Linked DNA regions of Diceros bicornis minor. The protein of the gene in region 2 interacts with the protein of the main gene of each other region in a biochemical or structural test. Links are inferred from orthologs where the notes say so. Each region holds a gene or a part of one and is shown on either strand. Other genes may lie near its edges.

The links.
Region 1: of the proteins of SERPINF2 (region 2) and ELANE, one has a biochemical effect on the other in vitro, tested with the Homo sapiens proteins (2 studies listed by BioGRID). The link is inferred for Diceros bicornis minor from reciprocal best matches to the Homo sapiens genes SERPINF2 and ELANE.
Region 3: the proteins of SERPINF2 (region 2) and plasminogen-like form a complex in vitro, tested with the Homo sapiens proteins (2 studies listed by BioGRID, with this or other methods). The link is inferred for Diceros bicornis minor from reciprocal best matches to the Homo sapiens genes SERPINF2 and PLG.

What each region holds. Positions count from the first base shown.
Region 1 is NW_026691553.1:442,005-449,129, reverse strand, and holds ELANE (neutrophil elastase), read right to left. Parts: upstream 2,470-7,125; 5' UTR 2,461-2,469; coding exon 2,394-2,460; intron 2,022-2,393; coding exon 1,868-2,021; intron 1,747-1,867; coding exon 1,605-1,746; intron 1,103-1,604; coding exon 872-1,102; intron 726-871; coding exon 549-725; downstream 1-548. Other genes in the region: myeloblastin-like, read right to left, coding at 2,509-2,832, 3,763-3,943, 5,256-5,336, 5,527-5,699, 6,176-6,406, 6,916-7,057. UniProt on the Homo sapiens protein: Serine protease that modifies the functions of natural killer cells, monocytes and granulocytes. Inhibits C5a-dependent neutrophil enzyme release and chemotaxis. Promotes cleavage of GSDMB, thereby inhibiting pyroptosis. Promotes blood coagulation.
Region 2 is NC_080757.1:16,026,043-16,033,659, forward strand, and holds the start of SERPINF2 (alpha-2-antiplasmin), read right to left. Parts: upstream 3,061-7,617; 5' UTR 3,014-3,060; intron 1,818-3,013; 5' UTR 1,814-1,817; coding exon 1,751-1,813; intron 1,611-1,750; coding exon 1,572-1,610; intron 1,451-1,571; coding exon 1,388-1,450; intron 1,093-1,387; coding exon 891-1,092; intron 393-890; coding exon 249-392; intron 102-248; coding exon 1-101. Other genes in the region: WDR81 (WD repeat-containing protein 81), read right to left, coding at 4,736-5,056, 6,113-6,292, 6,548-6,693, 7,605-7,617.
Region 3 is NC_080778.1:9,496,039-9,504,014, forward strand, and holds the start of plasminogen-like, read left to right. Parts: upstream 1-4,884; 5' UTR 4,885-4,975; coding exon 4,976-5,024; intron 5,025-7,976. UniProt on the Homo sapiens protein: Plasmin dissolves the fibrin of blood clots and acts as a proteolytic factor in a variety of other processes including embryonic development, tissue remodeling, tumor invasion, and inflammation. In ovulation, weakens the walls of the Graafian follicle.

The DNA.
Region 1 (7,125 bases), on a different chromosome or scaffold from region 2:
TGAAACCGAGGCTCAGAGACAGTGAGCGAGTTGCCCAAAGTCACAGAGCTGGGCGTCAAACTCAGGCTCCCGGGCCCGGCTTCACACCTCTCTGCGCCCCCACTCCCTTGTCTGTGAGGCGGGGGCTCCAAGAGGACCCCCCTCGAGGGCTGGAGGAGTGAGGTCCCCCCAAGACTCAGAACATTCCCGTACCTCGTGAGCACTCAACGAACACCGCCACAGTGCTTTGTCATCACCACCGGCGACACTCGTGTGATCCCATGAAAGTGGGTTTTATGGGGGGGAATCCAGAAATGGTAACCCGAATCCTTTCGTGGAAGGAGGTGGGGAAGGGACTTCTCACGTCAATGCCCCACATTTGCCGCCACCTGGTGGCAGCATACCCCAGAGGTGCCCTGACGACTTTCCACACCCGCTGGCACAACCGACACACAGCCAGACACGTTCTACAAAAGGGAGAGGGTTTTTATTGGGCGAGGTGCCCGGGGACGCGGCGTGGGAAGGGCCTGGCTGGGGCAGGCGAGGCAGGGGCACCCGGGCCGCCCTTCCTAGCGGGCCCCGCTCAGAGGGTCCCCGTGGCGGCGGAGGATGGAGTTGATCCAGCTGGCGAACTGCGCGACGGGGGCGAAGGCGTCGGGGTAGAAGCCAGAGCCGCAGCCTCCGCGGATGAAGGAGTCGATGCCCTGGACCAGCCCGTCGCAGACCAGCGGCCCGCCAGAGTCGCCCTGCGGAGCCCGACAGACGGGGTGGGAGGCTGCGCTGCCCGGGCCCCGCCCCGCTCGGGGTCGGGCAGTCCCTCCCGGGGTCCGGCCGCTGGCCGGGTTGCTGGGGCCGGGCGGGGCTCGGGGTGGGGGACGCGGGGGGCACTCACGAAGCAGATGCCGGCCCGGCGCCGCGGCACCAGCGTGCACACGTTGGAGCGTTGGCACAGGGAGGTCACCACCGTCACGTTGAGCTGCTGCAGGATGCTGGGCAGCCGCCCATTGGTGCCCAGCCGGCCCCAGCCCATGGCCAGGCACTGCGTCCCGTTCCTGGGGCTGCGCCCCTGGGCGGGCAGCTGGGCCACCTGCACGTTGGCATTGATGGTGGCCAACCCGTCGAGCTGGGACAGAGCACGTGAGTGTCACACGGGGCGCGGGCGACGGCCCTCCCCTCCCCGGCCTCAGTTTCCCTGTCTGTAATTGGCAGCAACCACAGTGGCCCGGGGCGCCCCGGACATGACTTGAGTGCTGTAAACAGGAGGTGCTTAATAATGGTGCTATAAACAGTAGGTGCTCAATAAAACAAACCATGGGCAACACTGAGGCCAATAAAACCCTCGTTCTAGAACATTCTCAGAGAAGAATCAGAAGAGTGGGATGGGAGGGTTTCTGCCTTGAGTCTCCCGCTGGCCCGAATGTGGGACTTGTGACAGGGCACGAATAACGGCGTTTGTTGATTGACTATTGCTCAGAGCTCCCGATGTCGTCTCTCACAATCTCTCCGAGGCCCGGCCAGGCGGGGTTTGTCTCCCCGAGTCACAGAGGGGAGACCGAGGCACAGAGAGACGACGTGCCTGTGACAGCTGGGGTCCCCCTGTCCACCCCCCGGCCCCTGGCCCCCACCTGGAGAACCACGATGTCGTTCTGCAGCGTCGTGGGGTCGAAGCCGTTCTCGAAGATCCTCCGGACGCCGAATGTCTGGCGGGTGCGCTCGCGCCGCCGCAGGTTGTGGGCCCCCAGCACCACCTGCACCGACCGGAAGTTGCTGCCGGCAACGGGGGGACAGGGGGTGACTCGGGCGGCCCCGGGGTCGGGGGTCAGCCCGCCCCTCGAGGAGCGAGGACAGACGGGGACACTGAGGGCCGGGGCGGATACGGGGGACTCACCGGCCATTCACGCAGTGCGCGGCCGACAGGACGAAGTCACGGGCGATCAGGGTGGCCCCGCAGAAGTGGCTTCCCCGCTGCAGGGACACCATGAAGGGCCACGCATGGGGCCGGGCCGGCTGGCCACCCACGATCTCCAAGGCCAGTGCAGGGCCTGGGGCACACGGGGGGGCAGGGCCGGTCAGCCACCCGGCTCACACCAGGACCCCAAGGGGTCCAGGCTCTTTGTGCTCACTGCCCAGATGGGGAAACTGAGGCACAGAGACGCAGAGAGGGGGCTGCCATGGTCCCCCAGCCGGGGTGCGGCTAGATTGGGGCTTAACGTGGCTTTGGAGTCCCCAGAGGGCGCCCAGGGACCCCCCGGTTCAAACCCCAGCTCTGGACTCCCACCACTCAGAACCTCAGTCTCTTCCTCTGGAAACATGTCACCTCATCCCAGCCGTCACCTCCCCACGAGGACGAGGGGCCCATGAGAGGCAGGAAGAGACGTCCAGGGACAGACAGACGGACACGCCGCCCCACTCACCGCCCAGCAGCACAGCCAGCAGGATGGGGGCGAGTACAGGGCTGGAGGGTGTGCGGCTGCCAGTCATGGTCGGGCGAGGCTCCGCGTCTCTGCCCCCCGTGCCCGCCGGCCCCTCTTATGGCCCCCACGCCGAGGCCGTTGCCGTTGCCCCACTTCCTGTCCCCCCCGGGGACGTGGAGACGAGGGGGTGACAGCAGGAAGCATGGGAGGAGGTGAGCCGGGGCCGGGGGTCCGGATCAATCTCGGACGCGCCATTCCGTCTGAACGTGGGATTCGCCGGTTTTAGTGCAAGTCCGTCCCAAATACCAGGCGGGGTACGCTTATCTGCAGGGTCAGTGCCCCAGGGACGTCGGCTGGGCCCCCCGCCTCGGTTTCCCCGGGGCACCCTCATAACCACAACGATGGCGTTCCACAGGGGTGGCGGGGGCTGCTGGGCCCTCTGAGATGGGGAAACGGAGGCATGGCGGGCCCATGAGTGGGTGACGCGGGGGCAGAGGGTTCTGAGCCCAGGCCCCACAGTTCACAGCTGGACGTGGCCCCTGCTCCCCACCACGGCCTCTCCCTCTCGGGGTCCGGCCGTCCAGCCTCTCTTTGGTTGCTGCTCGCGACGGGGAGCTCACTCCCCCCCGGGGGCCCGGTCAGTCTCGGGTCCCCAGCGGAGGTTCCGGGAAAGGACCCCTCCCAATCGGCTCCCCCCACCAGCCTCTCTGGACCCCTTCCCACCCGGGTCGGGGGGACGTGCTGGAGAAAGGATGTCTGGGCCTGGAGGCCGGACCGTGGGTCTCCGCCCACGTCTGGGAGCTTCTGCCTGGAAGAACTGGGTGTTGCAAGAAGCAACGTCCCCCCGGCTGGAAGCGAGGGTCACGGAAGGGAACCAACGGATCCTCTGCGGGAACAGGAGGGAGGGGCGCCGGGAGCCCGGCCCGGGCTGGAGTCCCCGCCTTGTGTGGCCACGGGCACGACCCCCCACATCTCTCCAGCGAGGACGACCGGGCACACGGCAGGCGCTCGGTGTCCCCTCCCCATCCCTCCCCTGGTCAGACACACATCGACCAGCCCTGCTAACCTCCCCACCCGGTCACGTTCAAGCTACCTTTGAGCACTTAGTCAGCACCTGCTGTATACACAGCCCTGTTTCTAGTTGGGAGGGTGGGGGAATGGAGGAGGCCCTGTCTTTGGGGGATGTGGTTTAGAAAGGACACCTTATGTAGCCAAAGCTGCATTTACTGAGCACCACCTGTATACCACGCTCCCCCGTGTCATGACTGTTAAGCGAGTCGACTCTGGGTTCATATCCTGGCTGGCCGATCGCTCCCTGCCTCCTTTCAGGCCCCTGACGTAACCCCCCACCCGTGCCTCGGTTTCCCACTGTGACAATCGGCTCCGTCTCAGGATTGTCTCGGGGATTCGGTGAACGGAGGTGAGTTAAGTCCTTAGATGATCCGGCGCCGCGCTGGGGCGTGTCAACCATTAACCCCCCAGGAGAGCGGGGGTCGGGGATTGCCTGGGGGACCCGGACCCCTGGAGAGTTCTGACTCGTGATCAGGGCTCTGGGGATGGGCCAGGGGGATGCTGAGCCCTTGGGGGCCCCTCGCTCCCTGAGCCTCCCCAGTCGTGTCCCCCGAAACGTCCTTTGATTCTTCCTGTGGGTTTGTCCTCCCCACGTGTCCGCAGCCCCCGCTGACCTCGGCAAGTCAACCGGGTGCCCCTGGGACCCCGATCCTCAACTCCCCCCGGGTCTGATCGTTGGGGCGCAGAACGTTCCTCTGACCACCGTTCACACACGTGAACCCACAGGAGACGCCCGGGGCTGGGTGTCTGGGTCTCTCTGTTCCCGTTGTCAGGCTCTCTTGACGTTCCCTCCCGCAGACCCCAACCCCGGGCACCGGGAGGTCCCTCTGGGCTCTTTACAGAAACCTCGTCCCGGCCCCGGGCCCCTGGGAGAGGTGAGGACTCTCAGCAGCCCCTGATCCTCATCAGCTACATTTCCCGGGATCGGCGGCCATGTCCCATGTCTGCTCCTGGCACTGCTGCTCCAAAGCAGGTGCAGCTCCTCCCCGGGGGTGGTCAGTCGAGGTGTGGACCAGTGGACAACGGGGCAGGTCTGGGAGGACTCGCCCTCGCTCCCATTTGTACGCTGCCACCAGGTGGCGGCAGAGTAAATCAATAAGGAATGAGCTGCCTTCCCACTCCAGTGTGCCCCCGGGAGCGGGTCGGCCCCTCTCTCTGAGCCTCGATTGCCTCATCCCTGTGGCCGCTCGCCCTCTCCATGGCTGACCAGTGACCTCTACCTCTTCTCTCTCCTCCAGGCCCACCCCAGTGCCTCTCCGTGGCCCCATGTGCTCTGGCCCCACCACCTCCCTGACCTGCTCTCCTCCCCTATCCCCTCGCCTCTCTCCATTCCAGCAACACCACACGCCGAGCTGTTCCTGACACCCCCCAGCTCGTCCAACACAGGGCCTTTGCACTCGCCATGCCCTGCCTGGCGGCCCTTCTCTTTGTGTTCTAGTCACACACTGACAGTCAGCTCAGGTGTTGCCTCCTCCTCCAGGAAGCCTCCCTCATGGCCCTTCAGCCTGCCCGTGACTGGACCAGGAGCCCCAGAGGCCTGGACACCCCATGTGACGATGGCCTGGTCCTCAAGTGGCCCCCAAGCTGGGAGACCAGAGCCACATGACACCCCCCAGCCCCAAGGGCCAGGCTGGGGCTCCCCCGACATTTTGGCACATGTCTGGGGTGACTCCATCTTCCAGATGAGGAAACCGAGGCGCAGAGGTGGGCAGCAACCTGCCCAGAGCCACACTGGCAGCTGGACTAGAACCCACGTCTGTGGGCGTCCCCACTGTGGCCTGGGCCCCCCACCTCCGGGCCTCCGCTCCACCCCCATCCTGAGCCTGGGGCTCGGGGACTCGGAGCCGGGGACCCTCGGCCGCTCCCCATGCCCTGCGGGAAGGACAGACGGAGGCGGACGGGGAGTTCCAACTTTTATTGAGGTCACTGGGGGGGCCTGGCTCCCGAGAGCCCCATGGGAGGGGGGGGGCGTCTGGAGGAAGCAGCGTTCTGGGGACCCCCCAGATGAGCCCCCCGTCAGGGCTCGGCGTCTGGCCTCAGCAGGCGGGCCGTGGAAGGGTACGGCTCGGGGGCCCCTTCACCCCCTACGCTGCTGAGCACGGAGCGGATCCAGTCCACGTAGAGCGAGACTCGGGCGAAGAAGTCGGGGTACCGGCTGGTGGCGCAGGCCTGGATCACGAAGGAGTCCACGGCCTGGAGGACGCCGTCGCAGATCAGCGGGCCGCCCGAGTCCCCCTGGGAAGGGCGGGGACCGGCCCGTCAGTCACAGGGACGCGGGCCCGGGGGCCGCCCTGCACCATTTAGGGGTAAAATGTCTCCAGCGTGGAATTTTCTTTAAGAGGCATGGGCAGGAGAGAGATGAGGCCACTCCGGAGGAGAGCGGGCATCTATTGGCCTCCTGCTGTATACCCAGACCCCGGGATTCTGGGTCCAGATTCCCGATGATTTCTGAGACGGACCCCTGGAGGCTGCCGGCTATGATGTTTGCGCCCCCTCTGCGCCTGCGGGAGCTGAGGCTGCTCCACGCACCTGAGCCCCTCGTTGGTGAGCCCGCCTCCCGGATGGAGAGACCAAGGCATGGCCGGCCGCTGCCCTGGGTGGGATTCGGATCCGCCCGCCTCCTTTGCCCTGCGCTCCAGGGCAGCCCCCTCCTCCGGGAAGTCCCCCCGGATGTCCCCCGAGGTGCTGGCCCGGGAGTGGGCGGTACGTACAAAGCAGATGCCGGCGCTCCGCCGGGGCACGAAGGTGCACACGTTCTGTGGCCGGCACAGGAAGGTGACCACGGTGACATTGAGCTCCTGCAGGACCCTGGGCAGTGGCTCCTGCGTGCCCAGGCGGCCCCAGCCCATGGCCAGGCACTGGGTGCCCTGGGGCAGCTCCTGGTTCTGCTCGGGCAGCGGGGCTACCGCCACCTGGGCATTGAGGGTGGCCGGGCGGTCCAGCTGGGGCAGAGGAGTGGCGGGGGGAGGTGAGACCCCGTCCCCAGGCCCCACAGCCACCCCCTCCCGCGTCCACTCTACAGTGCCTCTTCCAGGCCTCTGCCTGTGCTGTTCCCTCTGCCCGGCCCCCTCCCGCTCATCCTCAGGGCCACCTCCTCCGGGAAGCCTGCCCCGATTGACCCTCCAAACCGAGCCAGGGCTCGGTTCCTGGGCTAAGCCCTGGGGACCCCACCTCTGCCCTCGGGAGCCGCCCTTTCGGGTGGGAGGTCCCCGGAGCTGTCGTTCCAAGCAGGGCGAGCGGAGGCCTCCAGAGAGGGTGAGGCTGGGGTGAGGGTGTCGGGGCGGGGGCACCCCCAGGGCAGAGGCCGGGGTCAGGGGTGGTTTGAACGGCTCTCCCCTCACCAGGCCAACTGTATACCAGGCCGTGTCCCGGCACCCGCCTGGGGCCTGGTATACAGTAGGCGCTCAATAAGTGCTCGCTGGAGCACGAACGAGCCGGGCCCGGCGCCCACCTGCAGGAGCAGCACGTCATTCAGCTTCTCCTCCGGGTCGTAGTTGTTCTCGAACAGGCGGGCGATGCTGAACTTCTGCTGCGTGGACTCCTCGGTCTGCAGGTTGTGGGCCCCGAGCACCACGCTCACCAGGACGGGGTTCCTGAGGGGTGGCGGTGCTGACCACCGGTCCCCACGTCCCCCCGGTCCCCCCGCCCCCCTGGGCGTCCT
Region 2 (7,617 bases):
GATGTTTGCCAGGTCATCCTCTTTACTTCCTGTCAGGCTCATGGGCTTTGCGCCAAAGAGCTGCTCCGATTGTTCCAGGAAGTCCTCTTTGATGGGAAATCCTACACAGAAGGGGCCACAAGCTATTCCCAGGGCGCAGGCTCCACAGCCACCAACGATCTGACTGGCTCCCTGAGGCCAAACCCACCTCCCTCACCCCTGTCGACCCCAGGGCACTACCTAGGGAGCTCCCTACCACCAGCACCTACCTTTCTGCAGGTACATTCTGGCAGCCAACTGGAATGCCCTAGGGCCCAGGTCCCTGCTGAGGCGGCTCAGCAGGTGGGGGAGGCAGGGCCCTGAGTCTGTATGTAGCACCTGCAGCAATCTCTGCAGCGTTTGGTTCTGAGCACCTGGAAGGGACCACATTGGCTGTGGCCAGGCTGGGGTTCTTTCCCACCCCCACTGCCCACTCCAGTCCCTCTTGAATACCCACAGTGAGCATGCCCGCAGGACCACACACTCTCCTCCCATATCCACTGAACTGGTCTGAGCGACAGGACTCCCAAGTCCTACTTTCACCTCTGCTGCTGACCGTCTGGGCGGCCTCACCTCACGGAAATTGTCTTCTCTCTCTGGACCTCAGTTTCATACAATGAGACCCTCCAGTCCAATGGAGACATTGTAGCTATCAAACTCTCGCATAAAAATCACCAGGAACATATCCCTGGGCCCAATCCCTCAGAATCTGATTCACAGGGACTGGAGGTGAGCCCAGGAATCTGCATTTTTACCAAACATCCAAGTGACCCTGATGGAGGAACCACCCACTAGTAAACTCTGGAGGGTGTAGTAGTGAGTTCCTACTGGCCTCCCAGCTCTGCTGATCTGGACACATGCTGCCACAGTACCCAGTGTCAGGTGAGACAGTGCCAGGGCCACACTCAGAGGCGACAGGATGAGGTTGGGGCTGGTGGACCTTTGGGCAACGAGGGAGAATAGGTCTGTGGTGAAAGCCATCATGGCCTGGGCCAGCCTGCGGGTCTGCTCTGGGGTGGGGGCCGCCTTGCAGTCTCCTGGGGCCTTCTTCAGGGCAACCTGGCCACCAGCCTCCTGCAGAGACAGATCAGGGGTCAGTGGGGCCAAGGGGTCAGCTCCAGGTTCTGTGTTGAAGATTTCCTTCGTAGCCCCTGTGCCTGGGGGCAGCAGGGCCTGGTCCCAGTCCTGACAGGAGAGGGAGAGTCTCATGGGCAAGGGCATTCTGGGGACTGGATCCCTTCCTCTGGTCCCTCCCACCCTCCCCTTCGGACCTCAGCCTCACGGCCACGCCCCCTGTTCCCTCGCCCCTGCTGATTGGCCCTCCTCCCTCGGGCCCCGCCCACTCTTCCCCAGCCCCACCTGGTTGTACCTGGTTGCGCAACTTGAGGAAGATTATCGGGGAGAGCTTCTCCTGCGACATCCCGCTGATTAGCTGAAGAAAGGAGGAAGCAGATGGAGAGCGACCCTTCCCAGAGGTCCCCCACCCTGCACAAGCCACAGGCGAGGCCCCTCGGGGCCTTCCTCCCAGGCACACGCCCCTCACTCCCCAGTACCTGCTGGCCCAGGGGCTCCATGGCGCTCACAGGAAAGAACTGTTGAGAGAGGGATGAGGAGAAGAGGGGGACCCCCTCAGAGCTAAATCTTCCCTCGGACGACCCCCCACCCTGCGCCCTTCAGACCGCTGGCCTCTCCCCACCCCTCCCCGCCCCACCCAGACCTCAGCCAGGCTCACCGCAGAGCAGGGGCCTTGCAGGCAGGACAAGCAGAGCACCAGGAGTCCCCGGAGCAGCGCCATGTTCCTGTTGTGGACCGGAAGCCTCCGTTCCCACCTCGCCCCCACACCCGCGTGGAATCCCACCCACGCGTTCCCGGGCAGGCTGAGTCCTGAGCCGCTACCGCCGCGGGGAAAACACCAGCTACAGCACACCGCCCTAAAACACCATAGCAAAGCTTCTCATCTCTGAGGGGCAGATGTCCCTCCGACTTGTTTTTTAACCCCCTTTGTTTTCCTGGTTTTTCACATTTCATGCCCTGAGAATATTTTGGTTCATAGGGGAAAAATATTATCAAAACAAAAAATGTCCTCATTCTTCAAGGCCTGGCATTGTGAGTCAGACCTGGGTTTGAATCCAGGCTCTGCCTCTTGCCAGAGGACCTTGACATCTCCCTTAACACCTCTGGGCTTCGCTGTGTCTTGTAAAATGGTGGCAAAAGTCCTTACCTCCTCCCACGTGTATTGTGAGGACTGAAATAAGACAGTCTTGGTGAGCCCTGAGCACAACGCTTGACGCTCAGTAACAGCTCTCGTCAGCCTAGCGCAAGGTCCCTCTTCTGGGAAGCCGGCCCTGAAGCCTCCTCTGTACTAGGGCTCCCTCCCCAGAGCTCCTATCCAACCTGCTGTCCAGCCGGCCCACCTTTTCTGGCTGGTCTGGTCTTGCCCACAAGGGTAGACAGGACTATGAGGCCCAGAGGTCTCAGCAGGGTGGTGGTGGGTGCTGGAAAGCCGCCTCATTGACCAGCAGCACAGCCCAATGAATGACTCTGGCCAGAACCACCTTTGGACTTACGGGAAATGCAGGCCTTGCCCCAACTCTGCCCCAGGCCGGCTCCGGGAAGCCAGGCTGGCGGGTGGAGATGGGCAGGTCTTGGTCTGGCCTTGGAGCAGGTCTCACACACACCCCCACCCCGCCCCCATCTCAGGGCTAGTCCCTCAGGAGGATCCTTATATCACCCCTGGCCCCACTCCCATCACACAGGCAAAGGGCCCTGATCTCCAACCTGGGCTTTTGAATCTTCTTGGCAAGAAAAGGCCTCCAGTTTTTCAAGTCCCAGAGAGACTCTCCCCCAGATCCCCTACTTTGGCTCCTCATCACCTCAGGAAACTGGGAATCAGCAGGCCTCCTGAATAAATTCAGCCCCCATACCCTCAGCCAGGAGGGCAGCTCCTACCTCCTCTCCTGCTCAAGGAACAGACCGCCCGCCCCTCCCCTCATACCTCTGCAGGCTCCTCGCTGCTGCACACAATGTCCCTCTGGCCCCACTTGGGTGCTCCCCTCTCTCTGCCCGGGCTCCAGCCAGCCCAGTGGAGCCCTCCCCTCCCACCGGGACCTTTGCTCTCAGCCAACCCCTGTTCAGATTGCTTTCTCTTCTGGTAAATATTGACCTGCACATCCGGTTAAACATTGATATTGGGGCTGGAAGCCCCTTTCCCAGCAGGGCATCTAATCCTGAGACAGCCACCTGGAGCCCCCATGGATCTGGGTCCCACCTGAGCCTGGAGAAAGGAGGTTCAGGAGACAGTTGAGGAGGCTGTCCTCATCTGGAGGACAGATCCAGAAAGGACAGGGGCCTTCCAGCAACCCCACAAGGTGGGGAGTTATCCCTTTAGTCAGGCTCAGAGATGCTATGTGACCTGCCCAAGGATACAGAGCTGGGCTCAGAATTACATCCAGGTTCCCATTTCCAATGTCCTTTCCTTTTCCCTACAACTGCCACCCCATCCCTAGGAGAGGGAAGGGGAAGCTGCAAAACCTTTGCTGGGAACCCAGGATAGGATGCCCATCCCAACCATTACATGCCCAGGATCCTGGCTGGCTGCCTTCAGCCTGGGTCTGGAAGGCAAGGGGTGGGAGAGGAGAGATGCTGAGGGACACAGCCTCTCTCAGCATCCTCCTTACTGGAAACTGGTCTGGGGCTGCATGAACCAGAAGCCCTGTACCCTGAAGAGCAATGATCAGGTGGCCTCCCCACCTCCTGCCCTACTCCTCACTGCCCTGGAAGCTGTGGGGGTCTCGACTTTTCCCCACTCTGACACCATTGTCAAAAAAAAAGCCTCACTCAGTTCCACGGCTCCTTCAAAGAATTTATTGGTCATATTTACATCTATTGCAAATAGTGAGGAGGCAGCATGAGCCCAGCCTCAGAGCTCATCTCTGCTCCAGAATGTGAGGACCCGAGACACCTGGGTCTTCCTGTCCCCTGGGCGAGATGCAGAGATAATTCTTCTCGCCCCTTCTCTCAGGGTCTTAGAACTCCACCCTCCAGGGGTTCTGGGCCCAGGAGCTACCTCCTCAGCTCAAGGCACAAACACTGTAGTTAGGGGAGGGCAGGCACCAGCTGGCCCAGTCCATCTTCCCTCCCCTGGTCCCGCCCTCTTTCTTCCCCTACTGGTCCCATACTGGCCAGGGTCTGACTGGGTGGACACTTAAACCCCAGCCCCAGGCCCTTAACTCCTAGACCACGGCCAGCCCTCCTTAGAGGCTGGAGTCCAAGCACCATCAGTGTCCTGGACTGGGGCAGCATCCCTGTCTTTGTGGGAGAGGGGCAGAGAGAGTCCAGCAAGGGGGGGCTTTGGCTGAAGACTGGCTGGGCAGGGCCAGTCTCCCTAACCCTTCCCAGAGCTTCCCTGTCCCCATGTGGACCCGAGGACAGAGTGGGGAGAACACAGGGCAGCGATGCTTTCCCACGCTCTCCCTCTTCTTCCTACTGGCTTGGAGCAGCATCTCCCCAAGCCATGAAGGAGATCCTCTGGCAGCCTTGGGGGCTCTAGGAGTTCAAGAGCCTGGACCCTTGTCCAGCCCTAGCTTGCAGGCCATGTGGGTACACAGGGCATGGGGTCTGAGGCTTGCCTGGAGGGAGCTGCTGGGCAAACAAGGCTGATGGGATGGACTCCTAGAGGATGTCTGCCCACCCCTGCCTGACGAGCCCCACCCTCAGCCTATGCCAGGAGGCGGATGACCCCATTGTCTGAGCCCAGCAGGAGGTGGCGTTTGGTGGGCAGCAAGGCCAGGCTGGTGAGCGTGCCCCGGAAGTTCTCAGAGCTGAGCTTCGTGGTGGCCTGGGAGGGCGGCTCAAGCAGGGAGCAGACGCCGATCTTGTTGGCCACGGTGCCGGTGATCACCTCGCTGCCATACAGATCAAAGGTATGGATAGGGTCGGAGGCTGACTTGTAGTGGTGTGTGGGCTTCTGCTCCAGCTCCTTCCAGACAGTCAAGGAATGGTCGGATGAAGAGCTGACCAGGATGCTGCCCTCCACCGCCTGCCCGGGGAGAGCAGAACCTCAGCAGGGCCTGTGCCCTCCCATGTGCCCACCAAACCCCAGTGTCTTCCCATTTCTTCCCACAATATCTCCCAGGAAGACAGGGCATCCTGAGCGGAGGACAGGCTGCCACCTTCCCACGTTACATTAACGTGAGTTAATATGACTATATCAGTGTCGTTAACCTAGTTATCACTGTAATCTGAGCACTGACTATGTCCAGACATGGCATTACGCATGCCCTATTACCACATTTCATCTTCATAATGACTCTATGAGGCAGATGCTGTCATTGTTCTCATTTTACGGAGAAAAAAACTAAGGCTCAGAAAAGTTAAGTAATCATACCAAGGTCACAGAGCCAGTAAGTGGCTGAGCCAGGATTAACACCCAGGCTGACCCCAGAGCCCTCTTGATGCTTTCTTGGAAAGTCAGCATTTAGGGACAGTTGGAGCCCAGGGTCCCCTGGGGGGCCCTGGAGGGAGCCAGGGGCAGCTTGCCCCCAGCAGTGGCAGTGCACATCCCCTGGCCTCAACTTAGGATGAGGAGGGAGTCCCAGTTGCCTGGAAAAACCCTCCCACAAGTAGCCCTGTTCCTATCCTCCTGTACCTCCCTGAGCAGTTCCCTGAGGTCCGTAATTGAGAAGGGGGCAGGGGTGGGGGCAGGAGCCCCACGCCCAGTCTGCCCCTGCCCCCACCAGGACAGCCCAGCAGTGGGCATGGACTCTGCTCAGTGGTCTAGGGGCAGTAAACAGCCTCCCAGCTGAGCTTTATTTAACCTGAACTGGGTCACGGACAGGGCCCGACCCCTGATCCTCCAAGCAAGACAAATATGGACAAGGGTTACTCATTAGAACATCTCCAGGGAACAGCAGGGTCAGCTCGGCCCCCTGGGTCCCGCCCCTGTGCCTGCCTCCTGCTGAGGCCCCCCACAGTGCAGCGGGCTCTTGACTCTCCCTGCCCGTCAGTCCTTGGGCAGGTGTAAGTGACATCAGCTTGAGCCTGTCCTGGTGGACCCTAAGCAGAGATTAGAAGGGAACGGGACCTGGTCTGTTACCTTGATCTGTAAGATGTCCCCCTCGTGGGCAGGCCAGCCACGCAGAACAAGGCCCGTACGGGTGTCCAGGAGCACCATGAAGCCCGAGGAGAAGCCGGCCACAACGCTACGGCCACTGGGGCTAACAGCCAGGGAGCGGACAAGCCCAGGGTTCAGCCCGCCACCCAGGCGGAACTCATGCTACAGGCAGAGGGAGACAAGATGAGGCACCACCACCCACTCCAACCTGCTTCTCCCTAAGGTCCTGCTCACCCCGCAAGCCCACACAGCTTGACAGCCTGAGCCTCTGTCCCCACATCACAGGCCAGAGTCCCACACCCCCAGATTTGCTGCTGTGGGTGATCCGTCTGCAAAGAGAAACTATGCCCTGGCCTTCAGGGTCTCTCCTCCCTGCCAGGCACCCTGACTAGGGCTCAGGGAACCGACGCCCCTGACCTGCAGGCCAGGCTTCCTGCAGTCCACAAAGCGCAGGGTCGAGTCAGAGCCGGCCATGGTGATGCTGGTGTGGGGGGCAGGCATGACAGCCACGGCAGTCAGGGGCACCCGGCTGTCTGATGGCTCCACTGTGCGAATGGTCTTCCCTGGGAAGGAATGACACGGTGTGTCTGAGGTCCTAGCAGCTGATGGAAGAGCCCTGACTCCTCCTATCCCTCCAACCTACCCCATACCTGCCTCCCATATCCCAGAGGAGCTCAGAAAATGCCAAAGATGTTTCTTGACCCTCCCACCTTCCTGTTTCCATGGCCAGGCCAAGCTCCCATCCCCAAAGCAACCTCCTCTCTTCACATAGCATCCCCTGACCAAAGCTGCCTCCCTGTCTATCTCAATGCTACTCCATGCCCTCCCCGCTTTTAACCTTGTTTCTCCCTACAATGACACGGAAAAATAATTGAGCAACTATTTACCAAACATGTACTACATGCTACACATTAAGCCAAACCTCTATGTGCATTATCTTCTTTTTTTTTTTTTGTGAGGAAGATCAGCCCTGAGCTAACATCTATGCCAATCTTCATCTTTTTGCTGAGGAAGATTAGCCCTGAGCTAACATCCGTGCCGATCTTCCTCCACTTTATGTGGGACGCCACCACAGCATGGCCTGACAAGCAGTGCGTCGGTGCACGCCCAGGATCCGAACCCGGGCTGCCAGCAGCGGAGCTCACACACTTAACTGCTACGCCATGGGGCCGGCCCTATGTGCATTATCTTCTAAATCAGTTGTTCTGATTCCCATTTTACAGATGGGAAAACTGATGCTTCTGGCAGCAAAGTGACTTGCTCAACATCACACAGCAAGTAAACTAGCAGAGACAATTCAAACTCAGGTCTAATGGATTCCGAGTCCTAACAGCTCCTCTGTGTGGCTTCACTGGGTCACTCCCAACCACATACCATTACACCCCAACCATCCCACCCTTGGGCCCCATTCCCAGAGGCCTGGCAGAGTACAAGATGGCAGCAACAGAAACAGGCCTCACCTGGGCCAGCTCACCTGTGAAGGAGTC
Region 3 (7,976 bases), on a different chromosome or scaffold from region 2:
CCTCGCTCCTCCACACTGAGTGTCCCTCCGTGTGCTCCACGGCCAACGGGGCCTCAGCCGCTCTAAGCACTCGCCACTCCGCGCTCCAGTCTTACTTACAGACCGGCATTGCCCCCACCCCCACTAGGTGGAAAACCCCCTGAGGGTGGGGATAAAGTCTTAGTTCCTCTTATCGGCCCAGGCCTCAGCACCGTGTTAAACACGCTGTACACCCTGGAACCACATCTCCTGGAGGAGAGCTCACAGCAATGACGATACCCCCGCGCCCCCGCCCCAAGCCTCGCGCTTCACTCGGGGACCTTCGGATCCCTCCGCTGGACTGTGGGGATGGTGGGCTGGATAGGAGAGGAGGGAGGGGTCACTACTTGGGGTCCTGTGGCGATGAGGCGCCTCTGTCCCGCTGGTGTTTTACCTGTGTGCAGAGATGGCAGGTCTCCCCCGAGCACCTGGGAGGCCGCAGCAGGCGCAGACGCCTGCAGCCTCTGGATTCCGCCAGCTGCTACTGCGCAGGCGGCGTCCATCAGGCCTTACTGACTGTCCGGCCTGGGGGAGGGGTGGAGGCGGAGGGGGGGGGCCTGAGTCAAAGCCTGAGTTCCACTCCCCGATTTAGAAGTTCTATAACTTTAGATTCTCCCTGGACAAGTTTCTGTACTTTGAAAGTTCTGTAAATATATTTAAATATATGCATAAACATATACGTTAAATATATACGTATATATCCAAATATAGACACACATATCCAAATATACACATACACACACATATATACATGTATATACAAATATATACGTATATAGACATATGTATTTTTACTTTTTATTTTGAAATAATTATAAACACACAAGAAGTTACAAAAATAGTACCGAGAAGTCCAGTGTACCCATCACCCAGCCACCCAGCCTCCCCCAAAGGGAACATCTGACATAACTGTAGTTCATTATCAATACCAGGAAGTTGCCATTGGTGCAGTAATGAGCTAGCCCACAGACGTTGCTCAGATTTCACCAGTTTTTACCTGTACTCATTATTTTTTTCTTAAAAGATTTTAGTGTTTTCTACATGTCTCTCCGAAATACTGTGAAAAAATTTTTTGTCTTAATTAACTTTGAGAGTAATGAATTTTCGAGATGGAAAGGATGATTTGGTTTCTCTGTTTTTCCGCAGTGAATCTGGACCTCGGAGCAGAAAGTACGCTTGCCTGGGTCTCTGGGGAGTCCTCGTGCTGCCTCAGGGCAGGCTGGTAAACTATCCAGGAATTACTACCTTCTCTGTTACTGTTTTTCTCGAGCATCTTACGAGTCTGACGAGGAAATATCCAATGAAGGCTCTTTTTTTTTTTCCAAAACTGAATAAACATCTCAATTTCCGCAAGCACAAGCCAGTGAAGAAAATACAGCTCGCTGACCACTGACTTAGGTCTCACCTGGAAAGTGCTCTGGGCGGGTTACATTTTAACCCCTGTGCTAACTGAGCAGCCTGCTATCTCCTCACGGGAGCTCGGGCCGATAACGGTCTCATTCCACAGCCCCAGAGACTGAGGAACAAAGGCTAACAGACCTGAGAAAAAGGTCAAATGAAGACATGAAAGGCACCTTCAGATTAATGAGAGCGTGTGTCCTGGGTGATACGCCCTGATAAACTAACAGAGTGAAAGCAATCTGTAAACTGACATCAAGGGCAAAGATAAACGTGCTAAGAACCCTTGCAACAATGAAGGCATACTTCGTTTGAACTCTTAATAGATTATTTTTTCCGCTGTTTTCCTTTTGAAATGACATGGTCTTATTGGGGATATTCAGAGATGCTCCTGGTAAAGAAATGAGCTGTCTTAGAATGACCGTTCCAGGGTGGCAGAGCCTGGGTGGGGAGGAGCTCTGCTGGGGCTGGAGGAAGGTGGAACGTCGGTGCAGAAAGGTGACAGATGTAAATGTCAGATCTGCAAGACAGGGTCCACGCGGTATGAAAGCATGTCACCTGGGAAATTGTGACCTGGCCACAGCTTCCACTTCAGGCAAGGTGGGTGCAGGCGAGACTGAAGGGGGCACTCTACCTCTCTCGCCTGGTGAGGTTGAACTTTCCTGGTGTTTGTGGCTTTCCTGGTAAAGTGCTTGCGAGGAATTCACCATTTTAATGCCTAGAGGGGAGGAACTAGCTAATTCTTCCCTTCCTAAAGGAACCTGAGTGGATCTTGGTTGCAGGCGCCCTGCTGGGCAGAGCTAAGAAATTCGATCCCTCTTCCATCATATTTTGACGTCCTTGTCTCTGGCTACAATGCAGCAGAAGCCTCCAGTAATCTTAGATAAAAAATTTCCTGGAGTTCTTTTAGGTGGAGGCTGGGGGATGGAGGAGACTGTAATTTGTAACTTTTTAATTTTTATTTATTTTACCTTTTATATAGTCCTAAATGAATCTAACACACAGTAGGTGGTCAGTAAATACTTAATGAATTGGACTCAATAAAGATGCACATCTCAGAATTTATTCAACCTGCTAATAGTAGGCAAAGATGATCTCTCTTTATCTCCTTCCTGAGTTTCTGCCGTTCTTTGAAGTAGAAAAAGACTTATTTTGAATGAATTGTCTTTACAGCCTTGAGCAAAACCACTATCCGATGTCCCTCTAAGAGTGTTGTTGTGGGATTCCTATGCGTGATCTAGAATAGTCCATTGCTTTATGCCTACCCTGTACCTATGAAGCTAAACCATGTAGTGCTGTGACGCAATGGAAGTCTCTGTGCACCCCCCTGTCTGCATGTGAACAATACATTCCTCTTTGCTCTTCTCTTTACACACTACAGTATCTGGTGGCACAAGAGCAAAACCCTGCTTCGTGTTTATCTGTGCTCTCATGATGCTGATATATTATGAACGTGGTGAAGAATGTATAGTCAGAAGGCCAGAGGAGGGCAACCTGATTTAGAAAATAACATTGGTAGAATCAAAAGCATTCTAGAAGATTCCAGGAGAAAAGGGAGCAAAAGGCATACCACCACCACCCAAATAAGAAAAAAAATAAAACAGGAAAAAGAAAATTATGTGGTAATAGAATTTCTGATAATATTGTTCCTGAAATGCCTTATCTGCGAGGCAGTGCTAAACTATTTTAAATGGAAATAAATGCAGACTGGAAACATTATATATTAGTAGAGTCTGTTTTTTCCCCAAAGTACTTTCTCAAATACACCAACATAATCCCCCTAAGAGACATTTCAGATATTTTAAGAAAAAATGTCTGCCCAATGCTGATTTCTCAACTTGCCTGCACCTTGTGTCCCCTTTAATACACTCGGCCACTAGGTGAGAGGGAGAGGAGACAGGAAGACAGAGTTTGAGAGAAGAAAGCTAAGATCAAGTAGAAAATTAGGAAATATAATTAGGTCATCCCTGCCCCTCACAGTAGCACCAACTTCTTGTTCTCCAGCACGTTTTGTTCTTGAGAATTCTACACAGTACAGAACATTGCACCACATAAGGACGTTTCGGTCAACGATGGACTGCATATATGATGGTGGTCCCATAAGATTAGTACCATAGAGCCTAGGTGTGTAACAGGCTGTATCATCTAGGTTGGTGTAAGTACTCTCTGTGATGTTCACACAATGACAAAATCGCCTAGGGATGCATTTCTCTGAACATATCCCCATCATTAAGTGACACATGACTGTCCTTCCATCCCAGGGAATTCTGCAGGAGGTACCACCGAAAACGATATGGTGCCCTCCTTTATACTTTGCTAGTTTATAGGAAGGAGTTCCATAGCTGGAGAGAGAAGAATTTCTCGTTCTTATTTCACATTTAGATAGAGTCAATTTAGCTATTCCTAAATATTTTTGAACACTGAAATAGCGGTTTTAAAGCATTTACTACCTGGTCATACTAGCCTTAAGCCAGGGAAATGTACAGACTCAACAATTAAGATCAAGACAGACTCTTTAAACTTAATTTTACCACTCTTGCTTTATTTCACGAGGATGACAATCTAATGCACTGTGAATTCATTTGGGGAAAAGATCGATAATTTTGTAATGTAATTTATAATCACAGAAAACACGTGAGTCCACCAGGCATAAAGAAATTTTGATAATAATAAAATATTTTCACTTATGTTGTAATTTCTACACTAGTAGGATGTGGGGATGTTAACAACAATGCCTTAGCTTATATGTGTTATTTCACCCCTTGTTAGCTAAGTAACCTTGGAAAGATAAACTTGCTTAGCTTGAGTCGCCTCATCTAAAATGGGGACGATAATAATATTGCTTGTTTTAAAGGTTGGATGTAACTATGCCTATGCACCACTTAGCAGAGTGTCTGGCAAAGGAAAGTTCTCAGCAAATGAGAGCTATTGTGATTTTTTTTTTTACCCAAAAGAAAGAGAATGAGAGGCCAGCCCCATGGCATAGTGGTTAAGTTCAGCGGGTTCTGCTTTGGCAGCCCAGGTTCACTGGTTCAGATCCTGGGCACAGACATATGCCACTCATCAGCCACGATGTGGCAGCGAACCACATACAAAGTAGAGAAAATTGGCACAGATGTTAGCTCAGGGCTAATCTTCCTCAAGCAAAAAAAACGAGGAAGATTGGCAACAGATGTTAGCTCAAGGCTAATCATCCTAAGCAAAAAAAAAAAAAAAAAGAGAATGAAAGAAGAGAGAAGAAAACAAGACTAAGAATGATGATGGACTGGGAGTAAGGTGAGGACTAAAGAGAGAAGAAGGCAGCACGGGGCCGCCGAGGGGGCAGGGCCCGCTTTCACCACTTCCCAGCATCTATTGCAAATTCTGCTCTCAAACATTTTGTAAGATCCTCCAGTCAAGGTAATGTTTGAACCCTCAGTGCTCAGTGGCAATAGGCTTCTAAGAGAATAATTAACTATATGTGATTATCTTGTTTGTGGATGCATTTCCTTTCATGTAAGTCAATAACATCTTGGGACTGGGACACGCTGTTTTCTGGACACCGCTGGCCAGTTCCAAAATGGACCATAAGGAAGTGGTTCTTCTACTGCTTTTATTTCTGAAATCAGGTAAGACTTCAAGTTGTTTTTTTTTTTTAATCAGTATTTTTTTCCTAGCAACGTATAAAAATAGAGACATGATGGCTTTATGGGCAACTAGTTTAATTTAACTTTTGATTCATGAGATTCCCAGTTTGAAATCTAAATATAAGATTGAGGAATTCAAGAAATAAATTTAGTTTCCCTGTGAACACTGGAGATGAATGGGCCGAGAAAATAATGAATGGCTTTTTAAATCAAAAAGATGAAGCCCAAGGGTTGGTTATTTTAGTTGAAAAAATAGCTCATATAGTTAACAATCCGAAAAGTGGTTAGTCTCTTTACCTGGTTCTCAGTTGGATTAATTTAGATCATTTTTGTTAAGGTGTCATATGCTCCTCACGTTCAGATGCAAACAATGAAATCTCTCCTTGACTACATTCTCTGACTGGTCTGGAGTTGTATTCACCAGTTCCCTGTGGGCTCTGGCTTAAGTAAGACCTTCCATACATATAGGTTTGCTTTGTATGCCTGGAGAAACCACAGGCATCGATTGGCCAAGTGATGTATGCAAAAATAATTCAACAAATATTCACTTCGTGCTTTAGGTAGGCCAGGCAAATTTTTAAAAGTACATACACACATGTGTGTGTCTTTTAATAACCCAAGTTCATTTAGCCAGTGCAACAGGTAGGGTAGAACATCCCTATTTTATAGACAAGGAAATCCATACTTACGAAAATCGTGTTGTTTTCCTATTGACCAAACTCCCAAATCCAGGAAGTGAAGAAACCAGGATTTAAACCAGGGTTTTCCAAGAAGGAATCTGGTGCTCTTCTCTTTTTTTGAACTTTGTTTAAACCTTCTTTAAAATATTCTAAGCATGTCCTTATAGTTCTTTTTTTTGACCGCTTTATTGACATATAATTTATATACAATGCAGTTCACCCATTTACAGCACACAATTCAGTGGTTTTCAGTATATTCAGTTATGCAACCATCACCACAATACATTTTAGAACATTTTCATTACCCTAAAAAGAAACTCCACACCCCTTAGCTGTCACCTCCAGCTCCCACTCACTCCCCCATCCCTGCCCAGCCCCTGGCAATCACTAATCTACATTCCATCTCTGATTTGCCTATTTTGAACATTTCATATAAATGGAATCATGCATTATGCTAGTAGTTCTTCATATAAACAATGTATAGATACTTGCAATTCAATTTATAAATTGCCAGATAAAATTTTACAGTTGTACTTTAAATTGGAGTCAAATACATTTGAATTTAGTGGAGCCATTCAAAGAAATATCAAAGAAAACACAGAGCAGAAGATTGTACCAAGAGATTTCTGTGGGAATGGTTGTGTATGGGGGTGCAAGGATGCATAATTCTGTTTTAGCCTGTGGAGAACAGGACCCGGAACACTATGAGCTGATTCAGTGGGTCACACCTGAGAGTTAGAACAGATTTCTCTGCAACAAGATTAACATATGTCTTCACCAACCTATGGGGGAAAAAAGTCTTTCATAAGCTTTTTGAAGGGAAGGCATTTACTCTTTCTTTCCATGGAAATAGTTCTTGTTTCCAGTGCACTGAAATGACCAGGGAAAGGAAAAACATCCTTTTAGAGCTGTTCTCAGTGGGAAATGGATAAGCAGTTTGCATTTCACCAACAATTGAGTCTTTTCTTTCAAACACACAGGCTTGCATACATATACACACACCACAGTGTTAAAAAAAAAAAAAAAACTCATTATTAATAAAATACACTTGCTTTGGTATATATATCTCTACATTTGGCCTAGAATATAAAAATACTTTTCTTACTAAAAAGATTTGTTTAATATTTCTTGGTCAACAAATAAACTGTATTATACCCCGTTGCCATATCAGCCCTGGAGTTGAATAAAAGAAATTTGGGGGGAAATTTTTTCAAAAGAAAAAGAAAAAATTATTCTCTCTTGGGATATTTCTTTGGGCTATCTGCTCCAAAGGTGGGTCTCAGCAGCTATATGCTATGAAACATAACAACATAACATCATTAAAGGTAACTTAATTAAAGGGTGATATAAATGGAAATTTTCTTATTTTCATACCATTGATACCCCAGCTTGCTCCACTTTCTAAGAACTCTTCAAAAAGTTTAATTTAACTCTTTATGGGATATACTTTATAGAGTTTTTGTGTTTGTTTTTTAAATCATATCCTGATCCATAGAATTTCCCAAAGCCCAACTCTTCTTGGAAATGAGAGCTCAAATTGGGAGAAAATGCGGAATGAAGACATGGTTATGGGTCTGACATATTGATTTCTCCGTAATCTTTGGATACATTTATCAAGTGCTTTGGGTGTATTCAATCTCAATCGCATCAGCCAACTTCTGTTCAATATCCACTCTTCCACTTTGGAGTATCTTAAATTGAGGAAGAATGAGGGAGTCAAGTTAGGGAGAGGGTGGACTCAGGAAGATGGCTTTGTCCTAATCTGCTAGAGGACCTCTAGCAGCATATATGTTTTCAGGTGGTCAAGGATGGCCTTTCTGAGAAGGAGGATCTGACCCTTCATGATCCTTCCCACTGGATAATTTTCATCAGTATCCAAACATGCTCTAGAATGTCTCATCTGTGAAAAAAAAATTGTGTGACCACATATGCCTTCCTGAAAATGCTCCTTTCACAACCAGACTTTTAAAAAGACTTATCTCTTCATGCTGTTCCCACTGCCTCTCCTAGTCACTCTTCAACCTGCTCAGTCTGGCTTTGGTCTCCACCACTCCCCTCAAAGTTCATTAGGCCATGTTGCCTAATCCTATTTAGACCAACTTTAGGAAACTTTACTGTCTTCATTTTGTTAACCTCTTTTGGCCTCCCATCCTGGGAAAATCACTAGTGTTCCCTACCCAAAGGATGGAGGTCAACATCCCCAGCCTTCAAATAGAGCTGCCAAAGCTAACTCAGGCGCCACATGGGGCCTCCA